2 linked regions of the Styela clava genome follow. The protein of the gene in region 2 interacts with the protein of the main gene of each other region in a pairwise test. Links are inferred from orthologs where the notes say so. Each region holds a gene or a part of one and is shown on either strand. Other genes may lie near its edges. The genes, in order: trafficking protein particle complex subunit 13-like and proteasome subunit alpha type-7-like.

What was found.
Region 1: the proteins of proteasome subunit alpha type-7-like (region 2) and trafficking protein particle complex subunit 13-like interact in a two-hybrid assay, tested with the Caenorhabditis elegans proteins (3 studies listed by BioGRID). The link is inferred for Styela clava from reciprocal best matches to the Caenorhabditis elegans genes pas-4 and C56C10.7.

What each region holds. Positions count from the first base shown.
Region 1 is NC_135251.1:30,089,422-30,104,786, reverse strand, and holds trafficking protein particle complex subunit 13-like, read left to right. Parts: upstream 1-6,677; 5' UTR 6,678-6,843; coding exon 6,844-6,874; intron 6,875-7,968; coding exon 7,969-8,076; intron 8,077-8,286; coding exon 8,287-8,402; intron 8,403-8,644; coding exon 8,645-8,769; intron 8,770-8,968; coding exon 8,969-9,083; intron 9,084-9,265; coding exon 9,266-9,393; intron 9,394-9,639; coding exon 9,640-9,829; intron 9,830-10,124; coding exon 10,125-10,225; intron 10,226-10,566; coding exon 10,567-10,714; intron 10,715-10,789; exon of another isoform or gene 10,790-10,879; coding exon 10,880-10,975; 3' UTR 10,976-11,037; downstream 11,038-15,365. Other genes in the region: histone chaperone ASF1B-like, read right to left, coding at 11,042-11,329, 11,455-11,631, 11,828-11,943, 12,448-12,556.
Region 2 is NC_135262.1:13,589,876-13,606,350, reverse strand, and holds the start of proteasome subunit alpha type-7-like, read left to right. Parts: upstream 1-8,648; 5' UTR 8,649-8,664; intron 8,665-16,475. Other genes in the region: P-selectin-like, read left to right, coding at 110-191, 526-623, 890-974, 1,266-1,366, 1,461-1,539, 2,458-2,549, 2,629-2,716, 3,080-3,174 and 6 more. UniProt on the Caenorhabditis elegans protein: The proteasome is a multicatalytic proteinase complex which is characterized by its ability to cleave peptides with Arg, Phe, Tyr, Leu, and Glu adjacent to the leaving group at neutral or slightly basic pH.

The sequences.
Region 1 (15,365 bases), on a different chromosome or scaffold from region 2:
TTGAATACTTATTTCCTATTCACGACCAACCTGCTCTGTCGTCTTATAGTCAGCTTTACTCAAAATCAGTGACGCGGTCTATCACTAAGGCTGAATGATTCCAGCAGGGTATGACAAACGAAGAAAGTCCGAGAAGCGCTTCCGAAATACATCGCAACCTCAGGACCAACGAAATGAAAACAAACCGACTTCAGACGTGAACAATAGCTTGTGCGACCAAAAGTGATCGATCGCGCAGGCATGCGCACCATTATGGCCTGGAGAGACGGCGAACAACATTCGCCATGCATGCGTAATGGAGCCGAACGCCTCAGGGATTGCTGTTAAAATAAAATATGGGCGTTAATCGCATATCGCGCCGCTGATCTTGCTAATTGCTTTTCCATGACCAAGTCAGATCCGTTTCACTGATCGGGCGGTTCTGTCAACTATAGAAACTGCCTATTTGGCAAGTTCGACGATGTAGACTTACCAATCTCTCCCTTTCGTAGGCGTCTAAGCTTTATGACATTACAAAATCTAAGTAGCAAGCCCTTGGATTTGAACAGTTGTCTCCCGCATTTGGGGTGGGTTATAGGTGGGAGCTTAATATGTGGAGCTATGCCGTGGGAAAGATAATATAAATATTTGATAAAGACAGAAGCACAAAAAAACTATGATCACTTAAAACTAAATGTTCCCCTATGCACCGATTTCTTCTAAAACAACCATATAGGATAGGTCATAGGGTTTACGTAGGCGAAAGCGCAAAAACCAAGCGATAGTCATGGTCAAGTTTATTTTTTCCATCCAGTAAAAAAATAACATGCAAAATTTAAAAGAATATTTTAAAAAGCTTTGGCAGTTAATCAACCAACATCGCGAACTGCAAATTACATGAGATTAACATTCGGCCTGTTAGGAGGCTAAGAGGGTGTATTTTACTTTATAAAATTTGAAGATGTGAAACACTTAGATATAAAACAGGCGGGAATTTTCACCATTGTAAACACAACAAATATATCTTTGATCATGAGACCGTTCTGGTACTATGTTTTCAAGAAGTGATCCAAATTTAGTGATTTCAATTCAAAACACGTGAAGATAACGACTAATACTCAAAATTAACAATGTCAAGTTGTTTGAATTAGGGACTTTCTTAGAATTACTGAACGGTACCATCAGCGGTTTCATTAACTCTGCACCCACGTATGTTTGCGCCTGCATACTTCTGCACAACCGATATTTTCACCAAGAGATATTAGCACCTTCATTTAGATTGCACCGACCAACATTCCTTGTACATTCGCAGCAAAATATATTTTATTGATATTTGACGCCGAGAGACGGACATCCCATTGTTATGACTTGTAATGAATGCGAACTCAGATTTTCATTCATCAACCTAGTATAGTCAAAATCGCTAACCAAATGAAAAACAGCAAGTAACAGTTGACATCATTTCGACGTAAAAATAACACGTGGGAAAAATAGATCAAACAACTTGCTCGACATAAAGCTTGCTTACACCAAGTCAAGATCGTTGCTCGTTTTATGCTTATGTAGGGAAAAGTTTGAAAGGTTGGGACATTTTTTGTTGTTGCAGATTTTGAGCCGTTTATTCTACTACACATTCATTTCACTTTGCTGGACTAATACAGAGCGTGGTGAATGTGGTTTTTATTCGGCGACTAAGAAATTTCCTTGAGACACACATCCTACCACCAACATGCCTTGAAAAACCTTTGTCAAGCGTCCCACCTTTTCACCTTGTTGGGCACATTCGGACAAACCCTGGCGCACATTCTGTTCAATTCAACGAAGTATGCCCTTAAAAATAAGTAAATAATCGTCCGAAGAACAGGGGGACTTCAAATTTCGATATTTAATATTTTTGTAATCAATGTTCAACCAAAATATTTTTTTCAAAGAATTCCGTAAACATGTCCCAGTGAACCCCGGCTATTGTTCCCCATAGGAAACAAATATTTTCAGACTGTCCCACGGCGAGATTAGTAACGAACATTCACTCGTCAACGTTATGAATATTATTGTACAGTGGACTAAATCTGAAAAATATCAGACGGTGGTTTTTCATATTGAAAAGGCTATAGCAGAAAAGAGAAAAAACTGGAAAAGTGAAATTTTAGTTTCAAACTTTCAACCCGCTAAAACCAATTTCACTTCATAGCTTGCGTCGCTCTACAACAGTGGTTCCCAACCGGTGGGAAATTTCCCACTAGTGGGAAATTTGGAGGTTGCAGGTGGGAAATTTAATGCTCCTCTCAAAATGTACGCACAACAACACAATTATTAAATATTACACAATGAAAATCACAACATATGCCATGAAGCGGAAAAAGATTCCTATTCAATTAATCAAAACTTTAGTAAAATATCACGTTGTTGGACATGATATTCTGATCGTGCTACGCAACTCATTTTGATCTTTGGTCGGCCGATAACAACCTCGAAGGCATGCCTCAAACGAGCACCAATAGCTTTGAACATTACGCAAGAAGATTTTCGTCGCAGAGGCGCAAAAAAGAACAGTTTTTATTCAAATGTCTCAGAAGTATTGGGTAGGCGAACAAATATTTGACCCGTCCCCCCATTCTGCCAAATTGTTAATAAAAGGTAATGGCTTATCTAAATATAGATGTCCTCTGAATAGCAAGAACCAAAAATTCCATAACATCGGTGGGACATAAATAAAACTTTGTCTCGTGGAGTGTGATGGTATTCTGCCGAGTAAGTCTGCGCGCCAAAAATGAACGGATCTCCTTGTCCAATAGCAATGCGAATTTTCAAAGATAGACTTCCGGTCTACCATATAAAAAAAACAGCAGAATTGATATGAACGGTGTAATGTAATGTAAACTTTGATGCGTTTTTTGTAATTTTAAGCGTTGAATTTCTCTATTCGATAGATAACACTGATTTTCTTTAAACGGATCGTCACTGTCTTGGGATGCTAGACGGCGGAATAAATATTTTCACGAGATTTCAACCTCTACACCAATTGCAAGCCTTTATTATAGAAAGACATACCAATTATTATTGACAAGGAAATTAGTCTTTTTAAAACAAGTCCATATCTAATGGGAAATACCAACTCAGCCTAATTGGAAGTGGGAAATTGAGATAAAAAGGTTGGGAACCCCTGCACAAGGCCGTTGTCCATTTGCGGAGACGTTGTAACTAACAGAAGGGCGGATTCAAACATCCAACCGCAGACCGGATTCCGGATATAGTATGAGTGTGAGAGCTGATTTTCCACTGTGCCCCTGGGGCCTAGGCCAGGGGTGGGCAACCCATTTATTCGGCACGCGAGCGAAGCCTCAGAAACGAGATCATTCTCTTTCAGATAAAAAGTTTCGAGGCTCTGATTTATCTGATGAAACTCGGTGTTTGTTTATTCATTATCGTTTGTTAACAATCTGTTATTCATTTAAAATTTTAAACTCTTTTTGTCTTTTCATGACATATAGCTACAAAGAAATATATTATGACGTAACAAATGAGTTAGCTCTTGATGAATTGTGATGGGACACAGCATTCATTGGTGGTTCATTGTTACGTAATATATAGTTATATATATAGTCTGTGACACCATTTTTCTTCATTTCTGATTGATTTATGAAGTTGTACAGCTCATGTTGGTTAGAGTTATTTGCTAACTTACTGAAATAAATTTATTTCGAAAGAAATATAACCAGTAGTCTCTCGTATATTTCTTTGAAAGTTACAAAATATAATTCCAATGTAAATCTTTAGCAACGGTAATGCAGCAGCAGAAATCTCACTTATATAGAATAAGAAAAGTGATCAAATCTATTTGCCGGGCTGATATTTTCCCGAATAGTGAATCTGTCCGTAGCTTACATGTTTAGAAGGTTTATTATTGTGTATTTTTGTTTTAAAAGGTTGCCCACCCCTGGCCTAGGCCCACCTTCCTCTACGTTTTTCCCCTTATTGACGCTTCTCTTGTGCAATACGCTAACTCTGAAGTAATGACTTTATTTGTGGCCAACTAATCAGACGCTACCGTAAATCTGATGTAATGCGCTCGCGGTTTTTCGTTAAAAGAAGATAACTGCCATAGGCAAAAGTGGAAGAGGATTAGTGATGGGATTCAGAATTTTAAAACAAGTTATTTTTTGTGTCGATTAAAATTAAAATGATATACAATAAAATTTGTTCATGGTAGTTAAATTATTGCTGAAATCAAATGGGTCCCAACGTTTAGTTAAGCTTGAGTCAATTCCAGTGTCCGGTACAAGTCCACAATCTCCGAGTCGTGTTTCGCCACTCAAGGGCCATTGGAGTCTCGAGTGAGGTCAGAGTCCCAACAAGTTTTAAAAATTCAGTTTTACATCAAGTCTATTCACTAAATAGACTCCTGAGCCTCATACCGAATCGCTGCTCTTTCGAGTTAACAAATTATAGTGGCTTTCATAGGCAACCGTGAATGACTCACTGACTTGGGTCTCTTCAACACTGATCAGTTGACAGTTTAAAAGACAATTGGTATATAGAAAATACAATTCAAGTACGTTGAGCTTTTTGCTGTAAAAACCAAATACTTTATAAATTTTAATAACTGAAATTCGAGGCAAAGTTCCTTTTTTGGTGATAATAAAATTATTCATTTCAAATGATAAGAAAAACGCCGGATGTTTGTTTAATAGGTTCACTCGATAAGCCGTCCGTTTTTTGACAATATGTACGTCACAATCACGTAATAGAGCTTGTCAAAGTATAGCGACGATCGCGCTCACTGGCGTCTGCGACAATGAACTCACTAGCCAGCAAGATATCCTTCTCGTATTGACGTGGTTTTGAGGTCGCGGTGACATATTTCTTTGAATGACGTAGGCAAGGGGGGTAGGAAATGACAAATGCAAGTATCGCTTTTCTCATTTACGGGCCATGTGCTTTTGAAATTTTTGGTGGTTAAAGGTTGTATGTTTTTCTAGAAGGCTTTTACTTTTATTTAGTCCTAAATTCACTGTGCGCTCTATGGGATTTAAAATTGCCTCGTGACGGATCCGCTTTCTCTTTAGTGGTCAGGTACCGTAGTGGCGTAGTCTATTGTGGCAGATTGCATACCCGTATTACGTTTTTTGCTTTCGTGTCAATATATTTTAGTATCGATAGAATTATAACGCGTGGTGACAGTGAAAAAAGATTGTGAAAGTAGCCATGAGTGCAATTACAATATGTAATCTGTCTTAATTCCTAATAAATATATTTAATAATGAGAAAATATAACTTTGCCTAAAACAAGAATAATCGCGCGTGAAAATGGCTGCGGGTGCAAATATCCAAAGGTGAAAATGAGCACAGGTGCAACTATACATGGATACAATTACAAATGTCTATGCGTGGAAATGTCCATAAATGAAATTGTTCGAGGGTGCTAATGTTCGCTAGTGCAATTGTACGTGGGTGCAAATATTCATAGATGCAAATATATATAAATACAGGTGCGTCATGGGTGCAGTTTACGGGTGCAAATATGCTGTCATCAAACCAACATACAAACTTAAAAACATACAATAAACTGCTTCAAGTCTCGCGTCAATATTTAATTCCCTATTAGATAAATTGGACTCTTGTTCTAACAGGAATTTTAATAATGAAAATCACTTGCTCAGATTTTTAATCAAGCTACATTCTTGACTGTCATGTTCGTTACTTTTTTCGCACATGTGAATATGCTGTTAATTGCTTTCATCTGGATTCCACCCTAGTAGGATAGGATAGTATTTACATATTAAAGACGGCTGAATCATATGGCGAATCACTGCCTCTTGTCTGGTTACCAGTCTATGTCGAGTATGGAATTGGTTAGTCATATATTTGTTGCAAATGCATGAACTTGATGGCGGAGGGAGTTGTAGGAAGGTTACGTGAACTAGCAATCCTCTCGCACATAATTATCCTCCGCAGGATTCGTACCCACGCGGTGGCGAACATATCCCCAACGCCTAACTTATATAGATTACTCGTGAAAACAATATGATGTTCTACTGATTTTTATTTGTGCCTCACTACATTTCTATTATGATTTCAATCAACCCCGTTTTTGAAAGTGAAAGACTTCTGATAATAAGTATAGGTTTATTTCGACTCTATAATCAGCATAACAGACAACGACTAACATATGATAAAATAATTAATAAAAACTAATAAATAAAAATTGTTCATAGCTAGTGGCCATAGATGATTGTTGTCCAACTATCGATGTCGAAGGCCCAAGCAGTCCAACTTTCTGTTAAATTGAGTGTTTTATATAATAATAAAATAGAGTGAGTGTTAAATTGAGTGATTTTTGAAAATGTAATGCCAAGAGTGAATAATGTAGTCAATAATATAAGAAATTCAATAAAGTGTAGGAGAAATATAGAACGACTACAGGACTGAGAAATTTACCTAATTATTGTGAAGAACTTGATTTATTATGCAAATATATATAAATATGACTAGAAGTGTTTATCGTAATGAAGTGGAACTAATTCTTAAGATTTTCTTTTTCATGCATTAATTAAAATAATGGTAAATGGCATCATGGAACATATAATTGATGATGACAACAAATGGGATTTACAATGGATACCGGTATGCTACAATATGGATACAAGTGATCAATATTTGTTATGGAATTTATACTGTCTCATCTGTATGTTATGATTTATATTATTATTTTATCTATAAAAAAAAAAAAAAATTGAGTGTTTTATCAGCATATTGGCTGTGGTAAATTCCATCTCTGATTCATTCTAAGGTGTGCAGTTTGGTAGCAAACTTGGAATCAGATCGTTTAGCCGATGGGAGATAGCCTATCTCAGATAAGTTGCAATGGATAAAGAACACATTCTGGCACTGAGAGGTAATGTTGACTGAACTTTTCTGGTTTTATGAATCGGTAGTCAAAAATGTTTAGATACTGTTACACGTTACTTTCCACTGACAGAAGGGCATTGTTGCTGCCTCGGCAAGGAGGATAAGAAACACAGTACTGCAGTAGAACTTGTCTAGTCTACTTGCTGACTCGAACAGCGGTGTGGTGCACCGCAACACTTTTTGCCACTACACCTCAGATTATCATGCATGAGTTTACAGTTTCGAATCCCGTGCAGGGGATAATTTGGTACATAAGTCAACCAATACAGCAATATGTGATCTAATCATACTCGAGTTTACCTGTACAGCCATACATGACTAGCAGTCTCATAAACATCCAACAGCGAAAGTGTTACCCAATATACAGTTAGGGTTTACATATTTATCTCGGGGAAGAGGAACGCCGATAAGACGGCTTATCCATATGGCGAACCATGGCCTCTCGTCCGGTTACCATTCCAAGTCTGGTATGGGATTAGTTATATTGTTCGTTTTCGGAAGCATGGACTTGCTGGTGGAGGTAGCCGTAACCGACCAGCGGTTATGTGAACCACCCAACGACGGCGAGGAGTCCAGCAATCCTCTCGCACATAAACATCCCCGCATGGGATTCGAACCTGCGAACCCACGCAGAGTAATTCTGTAATTAGAGGTGCGGTGGCGAGTGATTCCTAGCGCTTAGCCCGTTGAGCCACACCGCCGCCAGTTGTACAGCTATATAAGCATTCTTTCTTTAATCCTTCAATCAATACAAAATTTTCAATGCTTCTCCAACTACAGAAATAAGCTGTGTAATCTCACAATCTCTTGAAATTTAACCAGCTAGAGGGTTTCTGATCTTTTTTTACTTGCCGTGTATAAACTTATAATATTCTGGTATTGTGTGCAAAATTTGTTTCTTTTGGACGAGGTATTCAGCTTCATTATCTCTAAGTAACTAATATGTGACATGTTTTGCGGCACTCATGGGTTGGCTTTACAGTTGAGAAAAAGTAGCCAATTCAGGTGGCTACATTTTATTATCTATTTTTCATTTATTGTTATGAAATTCATCATGTGTCAAATTTTGTTATGTTTCAGTTATGAGGTTGACAAAACCTTCAATGTTGATGCCTATCTCACTATCACATGTTGAAGATACAAATTCATCAAACAAGATTGGAGATTTGGGATCTGGATTATGCACAGGTAAGCATGCTTGATTTGATATTCTATGCAAATTTATTTCTTCCTCCCTGGAATATCTTTCTTGTTGCATAGTACATTGTTTAAAGGCCAGTCAACAATATTATTTACTCTTGGCAGTCAGTGGCTCATTGTGTAGATGTGCATTTGCTTCGTCCAGGCAAATTTATTTAATGTCAACTATTATTCACATCAAGTGCAATTTTGTTTCAGAACAACTGTTGTCACTTCCACAAAGCTTTGGAAATATTTTTCTGGGTGAAACATTCGTCAGTTACATCAGTGTACATAATGATAGTACACAGGAAGCAACAGATGTCGTTGTCAAGGTTTTTTATATATTATACATTTATAACCCTAAGGGCTTCATATATTAATAAAGGGAGTAACCATCTGCCTTGAGAATTGTATGCAGCAAAAAAATTCACCTGAATTATAATATTGCCTCAATTAAAGTACTCCCTTTACTACAAAAATTCAAGGCAATAGTTTTGAATTTTTCCGAAGATGTTCATTGTTCAGTAATATTTGAATTGTGATAATATTCAAATTGATCGTTGTTTTTTTATAGGCAGATCTGCAAACTGGCTCGCAGAGAATTAGCTTAACGCAGCCTGCCTCACGAGACGTTTTATCGCCTGAAAATTCCATTGATGATGTCATGAGACATGAAGTAAAGGAGCTTGGAACTCACATGTACTGGAATTTTGTGAATTTAATTCCCTATATTGAAATACCACACACACTTAGTTTATTTCACGGATTTGCTGAGATTCTGGTACTATAGTTGATTGTTTTTTTGTACAAAAAAGGAAATATATACAGAGATGGAAAAAGAATTTAAACGAAACACATCATTTGATGCTGATGAATTATGAAATCCTATTTATTTCAGATTGGTTTGCAGTGTTTCATATAAAAATGCAGGTGTGCAAAATTTTTTCCGAAAATTCTTCAAGTTTCAAGTATTGAAGCCATTGGATGTCAAAACAAAATTTTATAATACTGAGGTTTGAATATAATATTTTTATATTAGTTTCATAAAAATATAGCAGAAGTGATGTGTATATTGTTCAATTAAAAGTGATTAATTATGTCCAAAACTTCCATTGGTACTATAAAAAGAATTTGAGCTATTACAGAAAATTCACCAAGATTAAAACTGATATTGTTATTGAAATTTTATTGCTAGCCTCATGAAGTTTTCCTTGAAGCTCAAATCCAGAACATTACAAACAGTGCAATGTGTATTGAGAAAGTTAGTTTTGAACCATCATCTCTTTATACTACAATGCCTCTCAACACCATTGACGATCAAAGGTAAGATTTTTTTTTCTGTGCCAACAACTTTCTGGGCTTATTTGATGTGATATGTAAATTATGTATATCACAGTGCTTTTCAGCTGGGGAACATAAAACATGTCATGGTTCCCTGTGTTTTATAGGGTTCGGTAAAAGTTTTTTCCTCAATCCCAATATTTTCATTATTGAATACTTATGAAGAGTTGAATTAATCACCTCGCTTCTAAAAATCCCTTGCAACATGGCAATTATCATATATTTCAGCACCTATGAGAGTCAACCATACCTCAAGCCGAAGGACACAAGGCAATATTTATATCAACTCATTATGAAACCTGGTAGCATATCCAAAGCTTTTGACAAGGCACCATCAGCGATTGGCAAGCTTGACATTGTATGGAAGACTGCACTTGGCGAAAGAGGAAGACTTCAAACTAGTCAACTTCAAAGACCGGTGAGATTTGTTGAACATGTACAAAACAAATTTAGGAAGTTTTATGAATAATTAGAAAGTGAGAATGCTCAGTCGATAATACATGGTTAGGAGGACCAAGAGCAGTTTTCTTTAAGCTGTGCTGGTCGATGCACCATCTTTTACAACTCCTAGCTATTTCCTCAATTTTAAATATTAATAATAAAAAAGAGATATATTTAATCAAATCCACGGTACAACAAGTTCAGAAAAGGAGCCTCCTATTTTGGTGTAAAATAACATATGTCTCATTCTTCACATGCTGATTTCATTTCAGCCTATTAGCCACTCTGACATAAGGATAGATGTGAAGAGTGTGCCAAGTGAAGTTGTGGCAATGGATTCATTCAAAATGTCATGTCAAGTAACTAATTGCAGGTAAGTTGATGTTGTAATTGTTATTATAAAATTACACACGACTGGACATATTTACTGTATGTTATGTTAATTTTCAATATGATCATCACATATAGTCATAGATGAACCACCAAGAGGTATTACAGATCCTAAGTCAAAATTGCATTCTTTGGTTCTTTATATCCAAAACACCGTTGTTGTTCAGTGAAAATTGACTTCAATAACGAACTTTTCATCATTTGTCGCAATGATATAGTCAGTAATATCAAAATTTGTTATAACAACATAACAAATTTGTTACTACTGAGGATAATAGCCTCCTGAGCTAGTTTTTATATCTGATGTTTTACTTCTATTCCCAGTGAAAGACCAAAAAATTTATCAGTATCGTTTGAGAATCAAACAAATATTTTGTGGAAGGGAATATCTGGATTTAATTTGAAGAAATTGGAACCAAAGTGTTCGACCTCGGTCGATTTTGATCTACTTCCTATAACACCAGGATTACTGGTATGTGCAACAGTAAATAATAAACTTTGCAATTACTGCCAATACACAAGTCCTGTTACGAAATAGCAGAGCGACTAATGAATGGTAACTTTATTACAACAGTATCTTGTGCTTTCAAAAGAAAAATAGAAAATCGTTAATATATCAAAACTAATTATTATACAGGGTGTGTCGGGCTTGCGGATAACGGACATAGAAATTGACAGGACATACGAGTTTGACTACATTCATCACATTCTTGTCCATGCGGTCGCAAAATGATCCTCCATCTAGATTCTTCATGCAGCGACCTCCCGATTGAAAGGAATAATGTGCAATATACTTGATTCATTCTACAAACATCCGCATGTCCATGGAGTCCGTACTATTTTCATACGGGGGATTACAAAATTTGTCATTACTCGTAACTTCGCCAGCCACATTGCCTGATATCTGTCCGAATGGTGCTTTGGAATTGCAGCTCGATAATGCAGATGAATTATCGTGATTTAAACTGTTAGCAAAGTCTGTATCCGGAGGAATATTCTCATCAGCGACAAGTTCTTCATCATTATTGTCCCAGTTTATTTTAAATCTTGTTACTCTGGGCTTGCTGTCTAGTATATTCCTTGTGAGCTGGCGAAAGAAAAAATATATATTTATTACTATTGAAATATGGCATATTACTCATTAGCGTTGTTCGAATATACAGTGAGAAACAATGCTCAGAATGTCGTCAACGACCGTTGATGAAATCTTACCTTGCTAAAGTCTGGGCTCTCAGGGGGATTTTCTCGGAGCTCCAAGTCATCATATTCATTGTTTACGTAGTAACCAACTCGAATAAATTCCTTAGTGTGATAAGTACATGTTATTATTACAACCGTCACACCCACAGCATCCTGCACTGGTATCAATTCAGTTTTTGGAGGATCGGCCTGGTAAAAATTAGTTAATGTTAGCAAAAGGTAGCTCCCTAATTCAGTAACCATATAATAGTAGTAAGTAACATTTTAATAGTTCTATAAACTAGCTCAAATTGACATTTCTCTTCACATGTGGCAATGTTCTTTAGTGGATGGATGTTTTAATTTCACCTAGCGATCATATTAGTATATAACATATATAGCAAACCTGGAAAACAAACTTATGCCGTCCGCTAGGGACTGGACCAACTAGCACAGAATCCAACTCTTGGTCATGTTGTTCACTTTCAGCAGATCCCACATATATGATTTTCCACTCCAAATCTATGAATAGAAATATTAAGAAAATATATCAGGAAGCTTTCACTCCGAGCAGCCTGTTTAATAATTCCCGGCTACTTTTTTGTTGGAGCTTATCCTCTTATACCAGTCTGCCAGTACTGCAGTATATGTTCAGACGTAACAGGTAATTTCAAAACCATCAAACAGTGATAGAAAGCAGAAAATATTTGTATAGTACCGTAGTGCTAGTGACTTATTGCACTACAGCACTAGGAGTCTTTTAAAACTTATCCTACTACCCTGCAAAAGCCATGACAAAACGAGTTCAGCAATCCCTGGACTGCATGCACAAAATTTTGAGTTAAACATTGTCTGAGGGTTGCAAGGTGCGCTAACTTGCCAATCATCGACTGATACCATACAGCCATATGTTATTGACAATTTGGCAGTAGAGCGAGATCATACAGCCATTTGCAATAATAATATTGTTATCCATCTGTACATGGTACAGTAATATCAAACATTAGACCTACGTTTTATACTCACCATCAGAAAGATTTTCAATGCAATCGAAAGTTATTTGAAATTGGAAAGGATTGAAAAACAACGATGGATTATCTAATACCTCCACGTTCACAATTTGAACTTTAGCCATCGTTCAATTGCATGCGTCGTTTCAATATCAAGGCTTGTGAAATGAGAACAACAACTTTAAAATAAACTGGAAAGGAAAGCGGCGGAATAAGCACAGCTGACTGGACTGTCGCCAGAGCGGAATCTCTAAACGGGAAATCGTAACGCGGGAAAAACGAAAATAATATTGATACATAATGTTGCCAACTTCGAATACATATTATGATCAAAGAGATCAATGAAAATATATAATTTATCTATTTCCTCAGTTCTTTGAAATTCAATATTATTAATGTCACAATTCTAAATGTAACTTTAATATACACAATTCATACTTAACTAATATTTCTTATTTGGTTGATTTTAACAAAAGATAAAATATAATAAACTGGCAACAACGAGCGTCCTCAGATTCATTCATTGTCCCCAGATGTGCACCAGTGGCGCTAAAGTGAAATCCAACGCTTATACCAGTACATCTAAATAGTAGCGTAAATATATACTGAGGCAGCAATAAAATATATTAAAGTTAATAATGCAAGTCGTGATGTTAATTGGGCACGTGAAGTTTTGGAGTCTCGACAATTATCAAGAGCTTAGTTCAAATTTTACAAATATTTATAATAGGTTGTTAATTTAGTTTTTGGAATTAAATATTGTTGGACAAGTAGCTACCGACTCAAATATAAGAGAAAAATAACGAGGCAATCAGATTAACAATATTAAAAAGATAGGAGGTATTATTATCAATGGCTTTCGAATTAAACAATAATAATAAACATCGTTATGTGTCAAAAAAGACGAAAAAAAAACCATTCAATTATACTTATAACAAAAGTTGGAAGAGGATTAAGACGTTCAATATACAGTTTTAATATGCGAAGCAGTTGAATTTATAGTATTATAATACAAGGTTCGGCACATTTACTATAAAAGCATATTAATATAATTAAAGTATTAATTAAGTAGACAAATTTGGGTAAGCCTTTTTCAGTGGAAAAAAATTTCAGTTTCCTATTGAAAACATGCGGATAACTTTATTGGGTTTCAGATGGAACATTGCCCCAAGCCTATACACTCATATACTTCAAAGACGTTCTTTCACCTCAGTGGACACTTGCGGAGTAAAATAATCTTCGTTTATTTGAGACCTTGTACGGTGCTTTTTGTAATGGGGTGAAATAGTCCTTAAAGACTAAGCACTATATCCGACAGCTGTAGGATTTCATACTGATAGTTAAGCTGCAAATTAGTTACACGACTTTTCTCTGCGAATGCCATTCATCCTAAAACTTGCGCAGAATTTGTATTGACTGTAAGGAAGACCTTGATGCTGAACCCCAACTAAGTAAGCCATATTGTAAACGAGAGTAAAATAAACTGAAATATATATACTAATTAAGTGTTTTGGAGTGCCTTAATCTGTAAAATATTCCAAGAGTTTGCGATAATTTCTTGAATAACTGGGCTGTATGTGGTTTCCAACTCATTTCCCAATTAATTGTGACTCTCAAATATTTAATGATTTTAGTTTGTTAAATTGTATTATTGCCATTTGCCAACGCCTACTCTAAAATTGGTAACAAGGTGTTTTATATTATATATAGAACAACATAGATTTTGTTTTGGAATAATTCGGGGATAATTTATTTGCTCTGAGCCAATTATCAACTTTCTGGAGTTCAAGGTTCACTACAGTTTGGTGCTCTGAGACACAAGATGCTGGAATCGGGAATTCCCATGCAATGGCTTCTGAAAAGGTCGCTGCGATCAAACGTTTTCGGCGTTCAATGACTTTTTCTGTCGCGTGATATTCAATTCATGACAACTACCAGAATTCAAAATGTCGTTCTTCAATAATTTAATTGTACCCAACGTAATTCGCGGTTGCGTCGACTTACGACAAAATAAAACCATTACAATAAAATATCACGGCAATCTGCGGACATAATAATGTGAGATAAATTGGGATGATCAGTAAAACGTACATGAATAAACCTATGTTATTGCACAATAGCAGCGCGCACTCAAGAAGGTCAATTGTTGTAAACAAATGATGGAGGTTTTGCAAACTGATACGATAGAAATTAAGAGAAATGCGATTCTTATTGTTGTTATTTATATTAATTACTTTTAATATTATTGTTTATTTTTATAAAAAATGATCAATGTATCCAATATGTCTACAGACTCATTTGGGTCCGTGGCCTAGGGGTTGTAATACACTGGTTTAATTACTAATCTTTTCAAGCCGCCTGTGGTTAGCTCGGCAATGGGTAGGGCACAGGGAGCATGTTTCTGTTCAACGACCACGGTCCACGATGATAACATTCTTAATTGCCTGGCTATTTGATTTTATAAGTTTGGATGCGCTCGGTCGTAAGTAATGTCATTCAGGTGTAAATCATATAATGTGGTGAACTAATTTTAAAACTTAAATGTACTAAATGAATTTTCCCGAATTAAATTTTTTTTTCTTTCTCACAAATGCTACCGTATATGAAGATTTATATATATCATTCCCTGTTTATTTGTATGACTAAATTTCTCTTATTATCCATTGCTTCCTTTTATGGCAATTTTTACTTTTGACTCGTCTTAAATCTAGGTGTCGCTGACTTATGATGACCATTTCTGGTCCTTCGCGACTTTCTGTCAATTGCAATGAAATCCGTTACTGTAATGCATAATTTTTTATCTGTTGTAAATTTTTGTTGCTATTTCTTGCACGACGAAATAAACGTTTTGTCTATTTGGTTCGACTCCATGCCATAGTCAGCATAAAGGCGATAAAAAAAGACATAAATAATAACTGATAACAAAATCATAAA
Region 2 (16,475 bases):
GTTTCGAAATCAATTTTGAATACTGGATGTTTGAGCTCGATTGTTTGTATTATACCGGGTAGCTATCTTTAATCTTAGTTCAAAATCTTTAATTATTTATTTATTTCAGTTGTCACTTGCTCTGAGCTTTCTTTCGAAGGAACAATCGAATGCATACCAGAAAATAGCATTGAATTCGATACAGCTTGCGTGTAGGTTCAATTTTCGTGTTAAACTGCGTTTTTGATAAAAAAAAATATCGCAAATGACAGTTCCCAATGTAATATGATTTCCTGTTATTCATTTTAATTTCTTCTGTTTCTATTTCAATGATTTTATTTAAAACCGCATAATATGCAATTTTTATTAAACAAATCCATTAGAAGTAAGCAGCTGAAATGAGAAACTATGTTGGATGCCAATTGAAGTTTGCACAGGGTAATGGATAAATCTTGAGATTATTTACACACATACTTGACCTCATTAAATCATTACGATTATAAACCTAATATTGGAAATATTGTTAAAAACGTCTTTTGTTTCTAGTTTTTCCTGTCCTTTGGGTAAAGCAAAAATATCGGGTGATGTTATAAGATTTTGTCAAGCAGATGGGCAATGGTCTGGAATCATGCCAGTTTGTGGAGGTGAGTTTTATACCATCCGCTTAAAATATAATATACAAGAAATCATTTCCAAAACAGTGCAGTTAAAGTTTATGATATCATTATTTATATTTGAACTTTATACGGTCATTATATTAAACGTTTTATTTTTAGCCGAACTTAATTTGATCGAGACCAAACATTTTTATTGATCAGATATTTATGGATGAGAAAATATATAAATTGTTTCTGCTTTCAATTTTTCCCCCCACCATTATTCCCACCATATATATATGCTTTTTATTCAGCTCTAATGTGCTCGTTGCTAACTTTTCCTGCTGGATCCGTTGTTTGCAATCCATCGGACTCAATTGTTTACGGCACTGTATGCAGGTAACGGGAAAATATTTTACTATGTAAATGCCTTCGATACGGGTGCTTTTCAAACTTGTTTGAAGATCTAAATCATTCTTGTTGCTCTGCTTTCTACATGTTCGTTTGCGCCATAGTTTTAATATTCAGATGTGAGGTTGCGCATGTCAATTTACTTTTTTTTTTTTTTTATTGATAAAAGAGTCTTTAAATTTACCTATTTTAGTAACTGCAAATATTTGCATTTGAATTTTCTTTATTTTTGAAAATGATATTATTCTTAATGGTATGTCAATTTCTTTATTTTTGTAGTTTTGAGTGCCCTTCTGGTTACGAGCCTGACGTACAAGGATTGACAATGACTTGTGAGGCGGATCAAGATTGGTCTGGAAGTATGCCAACGTCATGTCAACGTAAGAATCCATTTTCATAAACCTATAATTAAATTGAATATCATTGATATCATCTACGTTTCCATGATCTAACTAAACTACGTTGTTTTTTCAGCTGTTGACTGCGGATCGTATCCAGATGTTCTAAACGGGCAGTCTATGTGTGATGGTACAACATATCAAAAAACATGCTTGTGAGTCTAACTAGTTATTCATTTTTTTGGTACTCTCGTAGTATGTGAACCAAGATGGCGGACAGCGGAACGTGGTATGTGAATACCAGGTGAGGATTGGGCTATAATTCTAGGTACAAATACTACGGGAGAGACTTGGCTAGTCCCCGAACTCGTAATAGAACTAAAATTAGAATAAAATTATGGCCTAACCTGGTACACATACAAGTTCCGGTGTCCGCCATCTTGGTTCACATACTACTGGAGTACCATTTTTATTTATTTTTTTGAGATAAACCAATACCAATTCAGTCACGTCAGAAATAACAGCCCAGTATTTATTGTCATATTCTTCCCTCTCATCTTCGTTTTGGAAGAACTATCTTTCTAGATGGTAGTTTTCACATATCGTCGTCAAGAAGCAAAAAGTTGTTCTTGTTCACGCCAACTCAGTCTCAGGTAGACAACAAAATTCAAAATGCGGTGTGCCCTACCGGCATAAACGTCAATTACGATATCTGCTATAAAAAAACTCCGATTCTGTAATATCAACGGTAGCGGCATTATAATACTTTCAAAGGTGGAATAATAATTCATTTTTTGCTTTAACACAAATTAAAACAAGGACAATTCTTGTTAATCAAATAAAAAATCGACGACAACTATTGAAACGGCGTGACAAAAATGATGTTTACCAAGTGTACGTCTGAATCATTTCTGCTACGCTATACGTAGTGGTACTCATAGATCAAATGTTGCTCGCGAGCGACACTGATATATAGTGGTAGTCATTTCAGGGACACACAGTGTTCGATTGCCATATATGAAACTGGAACAACTCATAGTTGTTTAGTTCATGCAACTTGGCGATAGCCTAATTATGGTACGATACATAACAATACATTGAAATTATTTATTCCATGAGTTGTATGCTTTCAGCGCCATCTGCAATTTGGGTTACAAAGTGAAAAATGCGCAATCCCAGTGCATGGCTGATGGACAGTGGGGTGTTCCTGCTCTCGAATGTTCAAGTGAGTAGTTATATCACCAGGTACAAAACAATTGAATTATCTCGTCAAGAAAATTGTTAAACATAGTTTCGTATTTCAGGAATTATTTGTTCCGACCTTGATTTCAACAATCAACCTGGAAAAATGACTTGCAATCCTCCCGGTTTCGGTTACCCGAGTACTTGCAGGTATTTTTTCAATTGAGTCAAAGGTTTTGAATACTGAAATAGTAATACTCTAATACAATTCTGGTGCTAGTGTAGAAATAGTAATATAACTTAAGTCTTATAATCGGGATTCATCGCCTCGTAGGATAACAATTTAGCAATCAAAAATGTAATCAGCGACTCCCCATGCTTCTTGCTCAGTCACATGTGGCTAGGCCGAAAATTTCGACAAACCCACAATGCATTTTCTGCATGAAAGTGATTCAAATATATAAAACTTAAATTTGAAATTAGGAGCGACTTACTAAAATTGTTGAATACAATCAGGGAATCGTAATTCAAACGCGCCAGGTTCTTGTTATTTCGAATTATGCCTTGTTTCAGTTTCATATGCTTCGATGGCTACGAATTGAAGGGATCAGAAACATTAACTTGCCAAAAAGATGCAATGTGGGATGATATTGAACCAACATGTTTAGGTAAAATGGTGTATGCTTTTTGGGGTGAGATGTCGTATATAGATGTGTCGACTATCGATATTTTGCTTCTGGCTATATATTGACTTTGTGTAATATAACAAATAAATCTTGTATTTAGACGTCTACTGCCCAGCATTATCGTTAGAAGGTGGGATTGTTGATTGTTCAGACGAATGGGAGTATTCAAGTGAATGCACGTCAGTATATATGTTTCGATTTACTTATGGGAAGATAGTTTTTATTTTTGCATGTTACATTCTACTGAATTTACTTACTATTCCGAAGAGGCGTTAAAACATTTTGCCAAATATCGCATTTATATGTTCAGTTTCAAATGCAATTTTCCTTTGACACTTTACGGAGAAGATGAAATAACATGTCGGGCTAATGGACGATGGTCAAGTCCAGTTCCAGAATGCAAACGTAAGTCCTTCTGTTATTGAGTACAATTTGAAATAAAAGTACTTTTTCAACAGGGTATGAAAGATTACACATACAAAATTTTTTATTTATATTCTATCGGATATATCACCATAATTTGCAATTAATAGACTCAATTGTCATCCTATTTCAATTGTCAATTAATGTCAACTTGCATGACGACACGACTCATTAAAAACACTCAATATTTTATTTTATCAAATATTATCCGCTAATAACAGATGCTAGAGTTTCTATTTGACATTCGATTAATGAAATCTATAAACATATCTGTCTAGTTGATATTGACATATTCATTGCTTTTTAGTTTTCGATCCAAAATGTGACGATGCTATGGCACCAATAATTTGCGTGGATAATTGTGAAACAAATTCTGATTGCGAAGAATCGGAAGTTTGTTGTAAGAGTCCATGCGGACTAACATGTAAAAAAATTAAGGACGATCCTAAAAAGCCATTGCTAAGTGAGTAAAAATAATTTTGTAGCAGTTGGTGCAATCGATGGAAGATTTCTGAACATCAAATCAAATTTTCAAAACACCACAACCATGTATTTCACAATGCGTTTAAAATGTTTTAATATTAGTTTATAAGATGTTTATTCTTTTAAATTTAACATAAAATTAATACAACATATATTTCAAACCTCATTTTATATCATTTAAAATCATTTCAGATCTGAATAAAAGAACAGTCCTTGCTCTTTTGCTTGCCGGTGCAAACAGACAACCGCGTCCGGTATATAGGCCTGTATGTCCAAGTTGTTACGTTAACGCATGTATCAGAACAAGTTGTCCAACGTTTCTCAATGCGGTGTGCAGAACAAGTTGTAATGGATGTAAAAAACATTTCTTTAATCCATCCAATCTCAGACAGGATATTGCAAGCCAATGTTAGTATTTTTATTTTCCAAATATCTTTATCGTATTGGATTATTCATGATTTTTCTTTTGTCATTTGCATTTATTTATTTTGCGGTCTACCATGGAACATTTTATATGATTCTTTACATGAACATTGATTGCATTACTGAAATCAGTCCACCTTTTTGTGTAGAAATTCTGAAACAATAATGCTCTATCAAACAAAATATATTTCAAGTTTATAATTTCCTCATGTTTTTTTTCTGTAATACTCAGGTGATTGTCCACCGAATAGTCCACCAAACCCAAGGTGTGGTGGATATATGTGCAACGGAGTTGGATGTGCAAACTTCCCACAAGCTGAGTGTCGTGTGTACGGTTGTGGGCCAATATGCTATTTGCAGTTTTTCGATAGATTTGGACGAAGAGTACCATGCAAAAGACAAGGTAGTTAAAATGCACTCCGTATTCTAAGTTTTTTTCAAATCTTAGTTTTTTATTCATATCATCTGAATAATAGAACCTTGTTTCATTAGAGAGCAGCGGTAAATTTGAAAAATACATTTGAATACAAAAATACATTTACATTAACCTGGAACTATTATATTATATTCGTATTCGTGGTAACACAAGGTTTGGTGATTTCAATGTCAGAAATCTCAAAATCAACTCTTTTGACATCATTATTTCGAGAAAAAACACAAATTTCGGATAAAAAAATAATTTTTATTAATGGCTTGTCCAGAAATAGCAAGATATAAATATTTCTTTCTTAGATCATATTATACCTATTTTTTTGCAATATAATAATGTTCAAAGATGATATTTAAAATATGAAGATCTACCTCAAATACTGCTTGCATCAAAACAGATGCAGAGTAATTGTTAATACATATTACGAAGTATTTTTATTTTTATTCTAGCAACTTGTCAGCCTGGAATAAACTTGATTGACCGTTGTAGCAGAGGATGCCTTGGTACTACTTGTCCAAAATATCCTGGAGCTCATTGTCGAGTTCCGTGTCCGGGATGTCCAGCACATTTCTACAATCAGAAAACGAATCAACCTATTCTTGATTGTGTGTAAAATTATAAAATTACTTTAAACACAAAACTATCCAACAATGCTGATGAATGCAAAATATATTAACGGATTTGGGTTCTTATCCATTCATCATACAATCTTCGAATTATGTGTAAAATAACATTAGCTACTATTTTGCTAAATCGTTGTTGTTAGTCTTGTTGTTGTTAAGAAAAATTTTTTTAGGAAAAATCTAACCTAATTCTTGCAAACTAACATAGCTGTTTTCAATGCAGTGTGAACGTTTTGTCATTTTTATGTTTTACAACTTTGAGTTGCAATAGATTTATCACAAACAGATTAGAAAAATTAAGGTGCCCCTGAGGTATGCGCACCAAGATGTCGCACGACCTGAACCCTCACCTGGTACACAACCTGAGTTCAGGTTTTGCGCCATCTTGGTGCGCATACTTCAGGAGGTCCAAAATTGAAATACAAGCGAATATGTAAATAGATAAATCACATTTATAAGAATAATTTTGTGAGTAATCATTGTTTAAAATTGATGTTTTAACATAAAATGAACGTTAACGTGGTACGCGAAAAAAAAACTAACCAAACTATCAAATTTTGTGTTTTACGATAATACACCAATATATCAATTTTACCTTTCCTCATATTCAAGAATCTAGAATATAATTCAAATCGAAAAAGCAAGTAGGATTTTGGATATTTCTGAGTTGTTTTCAAATAATTATTGATTGCTTGTATGATCTTAACATTGGCGACATATGAAAAAATATAATATTGAGGAAGAAATGCTTATAAAAAATCAGATTGTCTACACTGCCTTAACATCTGGAGCGTTGTTTTTGTTGGATCATGAACCTCTTGTAGGCTATCTCCTGCCCAATTCTATTGAACGTGTGCTATTGTTTGGCTTTCAGGTTGAAGCCAAATCATGCGTGAGCAACAATGTTTTTGCGATTCTACGATTTGGCACGACGATGATTGTATGAAATGTGCTTATTTTTGTAATATTTTAGGGTAAAATTATATAGGGTAACAAGCTTCACTAACCGAATGAGGTACTTCAAGAATGTTCACAACATAACGTAGTAAACGATGACGTCTAGCGGCACTTAAAAATACAGTATTTCTTACTTTTTCAATCAATAACATAATCATTCATCTTCACCGTGAGCTTCATAAAATCGAATCTGCAGCCTATTCAAACCTTTTTCAAGTTTGTATATGTGTAAGCGATGCATTTATTTCTACCTTGAGTTCAAGTGGAGACAAAATTGCTGAAGCACGAGACGAGAATTAATAATTGATTTTGTGTTTACAGCCTGTTTAACTTTTATATTCAAAACGTTCAACTGCTTCATTCACTTAAACTTGCCCACGCTCCACAGCGACTTCATGTCTCGGTCTCGCTCTCTCTTTCAGAACGGCCTGTTTCTGTTGAGGGTAGGGTTGAGGTATTTTCAGGCAAACTGTAACACAGTTACCGGTACTGCTAGTTTAAGAGATAGGCCTACTGCTTTTGGGGAAAAACTATAATTTAGACAATGGGTAAACGTAAGCACGAGTTCCGTTACGAATATAAAGAAGAATTTGCTATTCTGTCAGACAAAGTCGAAAGAGTAAGAGCTATGCCCACTATGACAGCTATATCAACCTAGAGGTGGGGTAACAGCAATTAGTGCCCACAATACTACGGCAAAACACAACAATTTTGCACTAAGGATTGCGGGAAACCAAGGTATGAAGACTTTTTTTTTACAAGCAGAACGTTTCCAACTAAAGTAGACCACAAGGGTATCGACTTCCGAGGGTGCTTGGGCACCAGCAATCATTTCTTTCCAACAATTGACCATGCAACTCATCAAAACGATCTTGCCTGATTCAGACATTGTTAAAAATTTGCAAGTGCTAGAACAAAGTCTACGGCCAATAGTGATTACATGTCCACTGGAACCGGTCTAGCAGACTTCAAAAGAAATACCTCACGCTGCAGTGGTTCGCGCGAAATTTCAAATTCAACCTTTCGGTCCATAACATTGGACCACTTATCTAGGAGGTCTGAAACTGATCTGTATCGCTCTTGCTCAGTTACTTTGTCGTGCTATTCGATAAATCGTTGTTACTCACGTTGATCGAAGGGCTACGGACGTTGTTTTCTTTTTCATTTCTGGTAAGTGAGTTGCTTATTTCAACAAATTAAAATTCAGCTAGACAATGGTACGTTCAATTTAAAGCCTTACATCTGTGACGACCCTTGTTTTATCTGTTAAATGATGTCATTTGATGTTGTTTCCATATTTGGTATTTTGGCACTGAAGACACTGGGTGCGCTGTAACACTGTCGATCGTTCTTTTGGGTAGCAAATTGTAATAGCTAGTTTAATGTACCGGATTCTAGGGGTCATTTGGCTTCTAATCAGAGTGTCTTTGATTTCAGGGTCCGTCAGTGTTTTTTTAATGTGTATATGGTTTTTCCTGCATTGTGCTGGCTGGTATTGTTATTGGACACATTTAGTGGACATAACGATCGTTTCAATATTATGTTGTTATTGTTATTATTTGTCTCCATCATTTTTAAAAAATCGCTTTTCTCTTCGAATACTGGACCAATTGCTTTGAAATTTTCAGTGAGTAAAGATTGATTTTTTTGCCAGAAGGCTATTTATTTATTTCTAAATTTCGCATGAAATCTGATATTTCGTCTAAAATTTCGCTGTATTATTTTATCCATGGGAACACTGGCTGTCCGGGTTGATTCTGTAAATTATTTCTACGCGAAACTCGGAATTTTTTGTGGGTACCGGTGGCGACAAAGGTGGTGACCGTACATTTGAACCCACGTACATTTGAACCCATGTGTATATTCGCGAGTTCAATCTATATGCAGGTTCTAAAACCCATGGGTTAGGGTTGGTATGGATTCAAATATCCACAAAACAAAAAATAATTTCCATAGGTGCAATAGTATGCAGGTGCAATTGTCGTGGGTTCAAATGTACGTGGGTTCAAATGTACGGGAACCGTCAAAGGTAAATACTGCTTCGCTCTGGTTAACGTGTCCATATATTTGAGCACAGCTCTCTTGTTTTTATTATATGCTTTCCGTTGCTTTGTAGTATTTGGTTGTATTAAGATCGATAATTAATAAATGAATAAAATAGCATAAATTGAAGTGAATATTGAGGGAAAATTGACGTCAGATCATATTGGAAGATATTCTGACTTGGATAATTATTCCATAGACTGCCGGTACGCTACACATCTATTGTGTAGATGTTGGACACAAATTTGAAATACTGGTACTGGTAGGATTCCGGTTTGACGTAATGGCATGATAGGTTGTTGATTAGTAACAGAAAATAAAATCTTAATATCCAAGTATTTCCTGGTATAAACTGGGCACAGTGCGAGAACTGTAGTTTGCATTGACTAATTTTACTATCCGTTGATGCGTCCAACCACAACGAAGTGAATTTTTTTTTCTTTGGTTATCAGCTCTAAAGTTGAAGTTAGGGTGCGTATTCTCTTATGAGGACTCGAAACAGATAATGAACTTTATTCCTTCTTTCTTGAGGCTAGCAATTCTGCACCTAATCAGTAAACAGTTCTTCCTACTCACACGCTAACGCGGGGGACTACATTAGACAATGTGGTTGTAAAAATTATAGATCTTTAGGAACCATTCAAACATCATTTTTTGTCTTTAAAAAGATCCGCCGCGAAGAATTATTTAAATCAAAACAGTCGCTGGTTATTATATATTTTCTTTACAGAGCTTTATTGGTCGTCAAGAAGCCACTATTACTAATTCGAAACAACAGTGCATTATTTACTCAACTGGCTGATATAATTGATTCGTTGAAGGGCGCAATCTCGCAGCGTTGGAGTATTATGGAGCAACAATAGCTGAATATTGAAAGTGGTAGAGAAGGACCATGCCGATGCTGAAATGCTAAAATCAAGGTTTCAAGAGTTTTACACAATCACTATGAATTAGTGATAGTTCAATAGTTTTCCATGTTTTTGTTTACAGTAATCATTACTGTCATGTTATTATGTCATTGCATGCTCCATTGGTCACTTGTACAAATAGTGTTCATTCAGTTGTAAAAGGACAGTCTGTTCCTGATGCTATATTGAGCATGTGCTCCATCTGAGGGTTGTTTACTTTAATAATAAACTTTTATTTGACTTATCAATGGTAGCAGAGGCTTAAAAATGACTTCTGTTAATGGGTACAAGAACCCTCCCGAGTTTATGAGCAGTGCAGTAATGAAATAGCAATATGGAAACTTGTGACACATTTGGATGCAGGCAAGCAGTCACTTGCAGTAACACTTTGTCTAAAAGGGAAAGCAAGGAGTGCTGCCCTTGAAATATGCGCTACTGACTTGAATAAAGAAGAGGGGATGGAAACTTTTTTCAATAAACTGGATGGTGCTTTCAAAAGAGACAGTGTAGATCGAGCCTATGGAGCATACCGTGTTCTTGAAACACTTGAAAGATGTTCAGATCAAAGCATTCAAGATTATATTGTGAAGTTTGAACATTTATATAACGAGGTGAGGAAACATGACATGCAGTTACCAAACTCCATTCAAGCCTACAAACGACTTGAGAGTGCTGCTCTTTCTCAACAAGAACGTCAGCTCATATTGACAGCATCTAGTAAACTTGAATATAACATCGTTAAAGCTTCCTTACGGAGAATATTTGGAAGTACTTTTAATAAAGTTAATACTGTGGTTGCTGTAAAGACTGAGCCAACTGTGTTGCAGAACTAAGCAGTACATCAAAGAAAATGACACCAAACAATAATCGAAGAAAAAGACGCAGAGAAAGAGGCACAAACCCCAGAAGAAGAGATGGCACAATTACAAAATGTGTTATTTGTGGTTCAAGCTTTCACTGGGTCAGAGATTGCCCACACAAAGATAAGGCCAGAATTACTGAAGAAAAAGATGATGTGAGTACAACTTTTATAGCAAAATATGTCGATTTTGATGTCTTTGTTGCCAATAATGTGGGATGTGTAATCATTGACACTGCATGTAGCAGGACGGTATGTGGTGCTAAATGGTTATCTAATTATATCAACAGGCTCACCCCCCACATGATAAAGAAAGTGAAATATTTGAACAGTGATGCATCACTCGTATTTGGTGATGGGGAAAATTGTCAAAAAAGCATTGTACAAAGTGATATTACCGGTTGAAATAACTGATATTTTTCGTAACATTGCATGTGAAGTTACAAAACAAAGCTACCTCATCTTCTTGGTAAAACATCCTCAAAAGAAGCAAAAACGATTATTGATTTGGGTATAACTGAGATGTTTGGAAAACCAGTCAAATCACTTGCAGGCGCAAAAAGTCACTATTATGTTAATCTCTTGCCCAGGGGAGAAAAGAATTTATCTAAAGATGGTCCACATACAATTTTGGCGATCAATGCAAACTTGTCTAAGAAAAGATTTGTTCACACTACACAAGCAATTTGGCCATGCATCGTATGATAAATTAAAATCTTTTTTGATTAATTCTGGGGTATCGGAAAAACATGTTTTTGGGGTTTTGAGAGAGGTATATGACGTGTGCACGAGAAGAACAAAATCCCCTCCAAGACCAGTAGTAGAACTTCCAATGGCTAGAGATTTCAATGACAGTGTTGCATTGGATTTGCATGAGATTGTATCAGGTTTGTGGTATTTTCATGTTATTGATATGTTTTCTCGTTTATCAGCAGCATGTGTTATTCGCACAAAATCGACCATTACCATTGTTTGAAAATTCATGACCACATGGATTGGTGTTTATGGTGCTCCTCCAAATGTTCAAAGTGAAAATGGGGGTGAATTTAACAGTGCAGAATTTCGAGATATGGCAGCATGTTTTGGTATTGAAGTTAGTACTGCGCCTGCTCAAAGTCCATGGAGCAATGGGATGGTAGAAAGACATAATCACACATTGACCGAGATTTTGCTAAAGATCAAAAACAGCGAACGGGTAGATGGGAAACTGCCCTTAGCTGGGCATTGTCAGCCAAAAAATCACTTCATAATGTATATGGATAGTCCATATCAACTCGTGTTTGACAAAAATCCCCACTAACCATCTGTTATGATTGATAAAATACCTGCAATACAGAATAAGCAAATGAGTCAAATTCTATCTGACATCAATTTCATACATGTTGCAAGACGGGCTTTCCGTTGAAGCATAAAGCAGTGAACGTATCCGACGTGCTTTGCGGAAACAGGTGAGATGTTTTGAAGAAGATTTAGGTGATAAAGTGTATTATAAAAGGGAAGATTCATTGAAATGAAAGGACCTGGGCATGATATTGGTTGTGATTAATCTTTGGGTTTCGTACGACATGGAGCTATAGTTGTAAGAGTACGCAGATGCAGATTAATAAAAGTTTGTGAACAAATTTATTGTGATTTACAACAATCGAATCCTGATAATACAAAATTTTTGCCTAAGTATTATGACAAACTGAGAACCTGACTCTAGCACACCAAACAATTACCTACATGATGATGAGACTAACATGGATAACCAAAATTCTATCCTAGAATAACCGATAATAAATCTGTTGTGAATTTCAAGAAGGGACAGATGGTGCGTTTCTTCATTCCTGATGATGAATCCATGCAAGAAGCAGAAATTCTGGGACGTGCTGGAAAAGTCACGGGAAAATATAAGAACTAGTATAATGTTAAAGTGTTCAAGCCCGATGTTAAAGCAGGTCAAAATTCTTCCTTTGATTTTGATAAAGTACAGAATTTATTTGTTATATCTGAACAAGTCCCAACTGAAGTCGTGGATGAAGCTGAAAATGGGGTATTAAATAGTAATTCTCCTCGAAGGAGAATCTTTAATAACGTCATATATTTTCTTATTAGAAGCAAAGCATAAGGTGCTTGATAGTTGGAAAAAAATCAGGTATATAATGAAGGGCAAAAACTTTGTCCACCAGATGGGTATGTACTCTTAAAAATACACCTGATGGTATAATCTCCAAAGCAAGACTGGTGATTTGTGGTATCGGAGATGAATGTTCAAATGAAATACCAAAAAAAAGCAAGCATCACAGAAAGCGATCGTAAATCGATGAGATCACTGATTCGACAAATTCTATGGACCGCGAATCAGACAAGACCAGACTTAGCATTTGAAGCATCGGCTATGCTTCCAACACTACCACAAGCCAAAGTCAGAGATATTATTTCCCTGAACAAAGTTGTACGTCAACTGAAATCTCAGTCTGTGAACTTAAGATTTAATTATCTGGGTTCAGATGTAGGCTTACCATACGTCCCGGTTTAGCCGGGACAGTCCCGGATTTGACAAGCTGTCCCAGCGTACCGGCCGGTTCACTCAAATGTCCCGGTTTGTCAGCACGGCTGTCAAGGTTAAAATATTCATATATATATTCATTATTAATACAAATTTTTTTTAACGTTGGCAGCCCATTTACCACTGTTTTGCGACACACTTCGCTAGTTCAGAGAAAGTGAAATTGCTCTATTGTTATGTCACAATTGGTATATGTTTTAATGCGTTTTCTGGCGTTATTACAATACCGTTAAGTTGTCGAAATGCCATAAAGAAAGTACAAATTTTCTAATGAGTTGAAGAAAGATTTTCCTTATCTGAAGCAAACTGAAGGAAGAAAGGTACACTGTACGCGTTGCAGATCTGTTTTTCTGTTAGTCATGACGGTCGTTCAGATTTCAACGATCATATCCAAAGCAGGAAGCACAAAACACTAATTGAGGCATCGACTCGACCGACCAATTTCTTTGCGATAACAAATTCGGATGATTCTGTGTCGTTGGCAGCCGACATTTACCTATCACACTGCTATTCATGACCAAAGTTTTAACTGCACCTCTAAATTGATTTCAAATTTTTTTAGCCTAAGTTTGCATTAACTTGTAAATAAACATAGTTAGAATTTCTGATGTCCGCTGTCTGATAAGAGGATTCACTGATTTTGCACGTTTACCCAGAAATAAATGAGAGTCGGTGATTTTTAATTGCATTGCTCCGCTGTTCTCCTCTGAACCCAATGATGATTTACTTTAAACCAGTTTTCAGTAACCCTCGATGCCTCAAACAGAAAAGATATAGGGCTTGTTCCAGTTGTGGTTCGTTAATTTTTACCTGATGTTGGTGTGAAGATAAAACTATTAGAATTCAAATCTCTACCCGGGGAAACCGCCAAAACTTTTACTGGATACTTGCTCTCTGTTCTCGATCAAAGTCATTTAAAGGGAAAAGTTGTTGGATTCTGTGCGGATAACTGCAACATCAACTTTGGAGGCGTAAAAAGACGAAAAACAAATAATGCTTTTTTTTCAAACTAAAAGAAATATAACCGGTATAGATTGTGCGGCTCATGTAGTTCAATACTGCACTGCGATACCCTTTTCAACATGCCGTAGATACTTTGCCTATTTGTGTTGTTGTCAAAATGTATAAATATTTTTACATTTACACTGTCCGAGTAACAGAGCAGAAACCATTCTGCGATTTTGTTGATATTGAATATCAACGGCTGTTACAGCATGGCAACACTCGGTTTCTCTCTTTATTACCTGCTTTGCAAAGGATTACGGAAATGTTTGAAAGCTTGATAAGTTACGCAAATTCTCAAAAAGCATGTCATTACTCTTATGCTAAAATGTTCCAGCGTACGAACTTCACTTGAAATTTGGCCTTTGCCAGCTCACCTACTTCAACAAAATATTTTAATTTTGGAAAAAGATAATAGTAATGCCGTAGATCAGGGGTCGGCAACCTACGGCCCCTGGGCCGCATCCGGCCCGCAGAGTATTATAATCCGGCCCGTGACGCTTCACTGAATTATAGTAACAAAACAGCCGTTTTGGCGATTATATATTTTAAATTATATTATAACCTAACATGTATATAATTCACAATTATTCGTTTAATGAGCCTACAATTTAATTATAATTAGACAAATGGCAACAAAACGCAGAAAAGTTTATGCTAAGTGCAAAGAGTTCAATGGCGCTGAAAATATTCAAATGGAATTTTTTGAGATGCAATGAGGAAATAAATCTATATTCTATTCGAGAGATGTATCACTGCTTAATTTTTATTATAAAAGGAATAATCCGTTCGGTTTCAACTTTCTAAAGATATGTGCGGCCCGCCAATGACTCGCAACCCTTAATTTTGGCCCGCGTGCGACAAAAGGTTGCCGACCCCTGCAGTGGATGTTGCAAATTATCATGTCAGAGTTGAAGATAAATTTGCAGGAAAAAGGGTGAAGTCTGTTAATTCAGTCGCAATCACTTGTACTTCTGAAATCCTTGGAACGTTCTGGCGAAATCGACGTAACTGATTTCAAAAAGGATGTTTGCGATTTTTACGAGAAATGTCTATCGTATATAAGGCTACATGATGAAGCCTACAATGCTGTCCCCACATATGGACAAATTTGAAGGGTGAGATAAACTGAACTAAAGTGTTTGGTCTGCAAAATTGATAAATGATATGTTCGGTTAGCTGGTCAGGTTTTGGATAGCGATGCACTTTTCGACGAATGCTGATAAAGAGATATTTATCTGAGCATGGTTCAAATGCAATTTGGCTTACTTTGCGGTTGAATTTAAGTGGACAGAGATGTTAACCTTTTTTTCTAACAGAAATATTAGCATTTCGAATTTGCAGAAACTCGTTGATTTTGTTTGCCGGAACATCGGCATCTGTTGAACGGATTTTCTCCCTTAGTAAAATTTTTTGGTCTGGAAGCAGGTTCAGAATGCCAGAAGAAAATATAAAAGCACTCGTAACCTGCAAATTTGATGGTGATGTCTCTTGTTATCAGTTTTATGACAAAATCAAAACAAGAATTTTTGAGAAGGGTTCCATCTGCGAACAAACCCAGTTGGTCTGAATAAATAATACAAACTAGTTTTTTTCTAATTCAATGATCAGTAGAGATTTACAGCTGTATATACCCGCAATGGCATGGTAGACGTTTCAATATTACAAAGACTGGCAATCGACCGAATGTTTGCCAATTCGCACCGTCCCGGTTTTTTGTTTCAGATTTATGGTAAGCCTATTCAGATGACATCAGACTTATGGTGTATAGTTATGCGTCAATTGGTAACCTGAGGGATGGAAGTACACATGGAGGTCACATCGTTTTTCCTGCTGGAAAAGATGGAAGCATTTCTCCATTAGACTGGCAAGAAAGTTCGATGAGTTGTTCGGAGCACTCTCGCAGACGAAACATTGTCATTGTCTGATACTATGGACAATGTAATAGAATTAGCCACCCTCTACACATGGCTAATGCGAGACTCTACAAAGCCTAATATTCCTAGTGAATGTTTCCTTGACAGCAAATCTTATTGTGAAGCACTCCGATCCAACAAGACTGTTACGGAAAAAAGACTGAGAGTTGAAATCAGTAGCCAGGAGCACATGGTAGAACTTGGCAAATTTCAAAGATTCACAAATGCTCCTCAAACAACTCGCAGATTGTCTGACGAAAAGAGGATGCTCATCTTTAAATCTGATCAAGACATTCACACATGCCATGCCCACAGTCTGTCCTTGATGCTATGTTGAGCATGTGTTCTATCTGTTTGAGTTATTTACTTCAATAATAAACTTTTATTCGACTTATCAGTTGACAGGTGGTATCGATCAGAAGAGCATCCAGGTACATTAGACCGGACATTGCTGAGAACTTGAAAAGTGAAATAAAATAAGTATTAGAAATGGCGAAACAAATTAATCCCCATAACGCGATGGCACGTGAGTTATTTGACGAGGTCTCAGCTCTCAACGGCCTACTTACCGCTCATATACAAGCTAGAATCGCCTATTCCTGTTAACAACGCCCTTGGGGAGCAGTTATTGTCCATTTTTATCAGCGCAATGGAACAATGAAAGA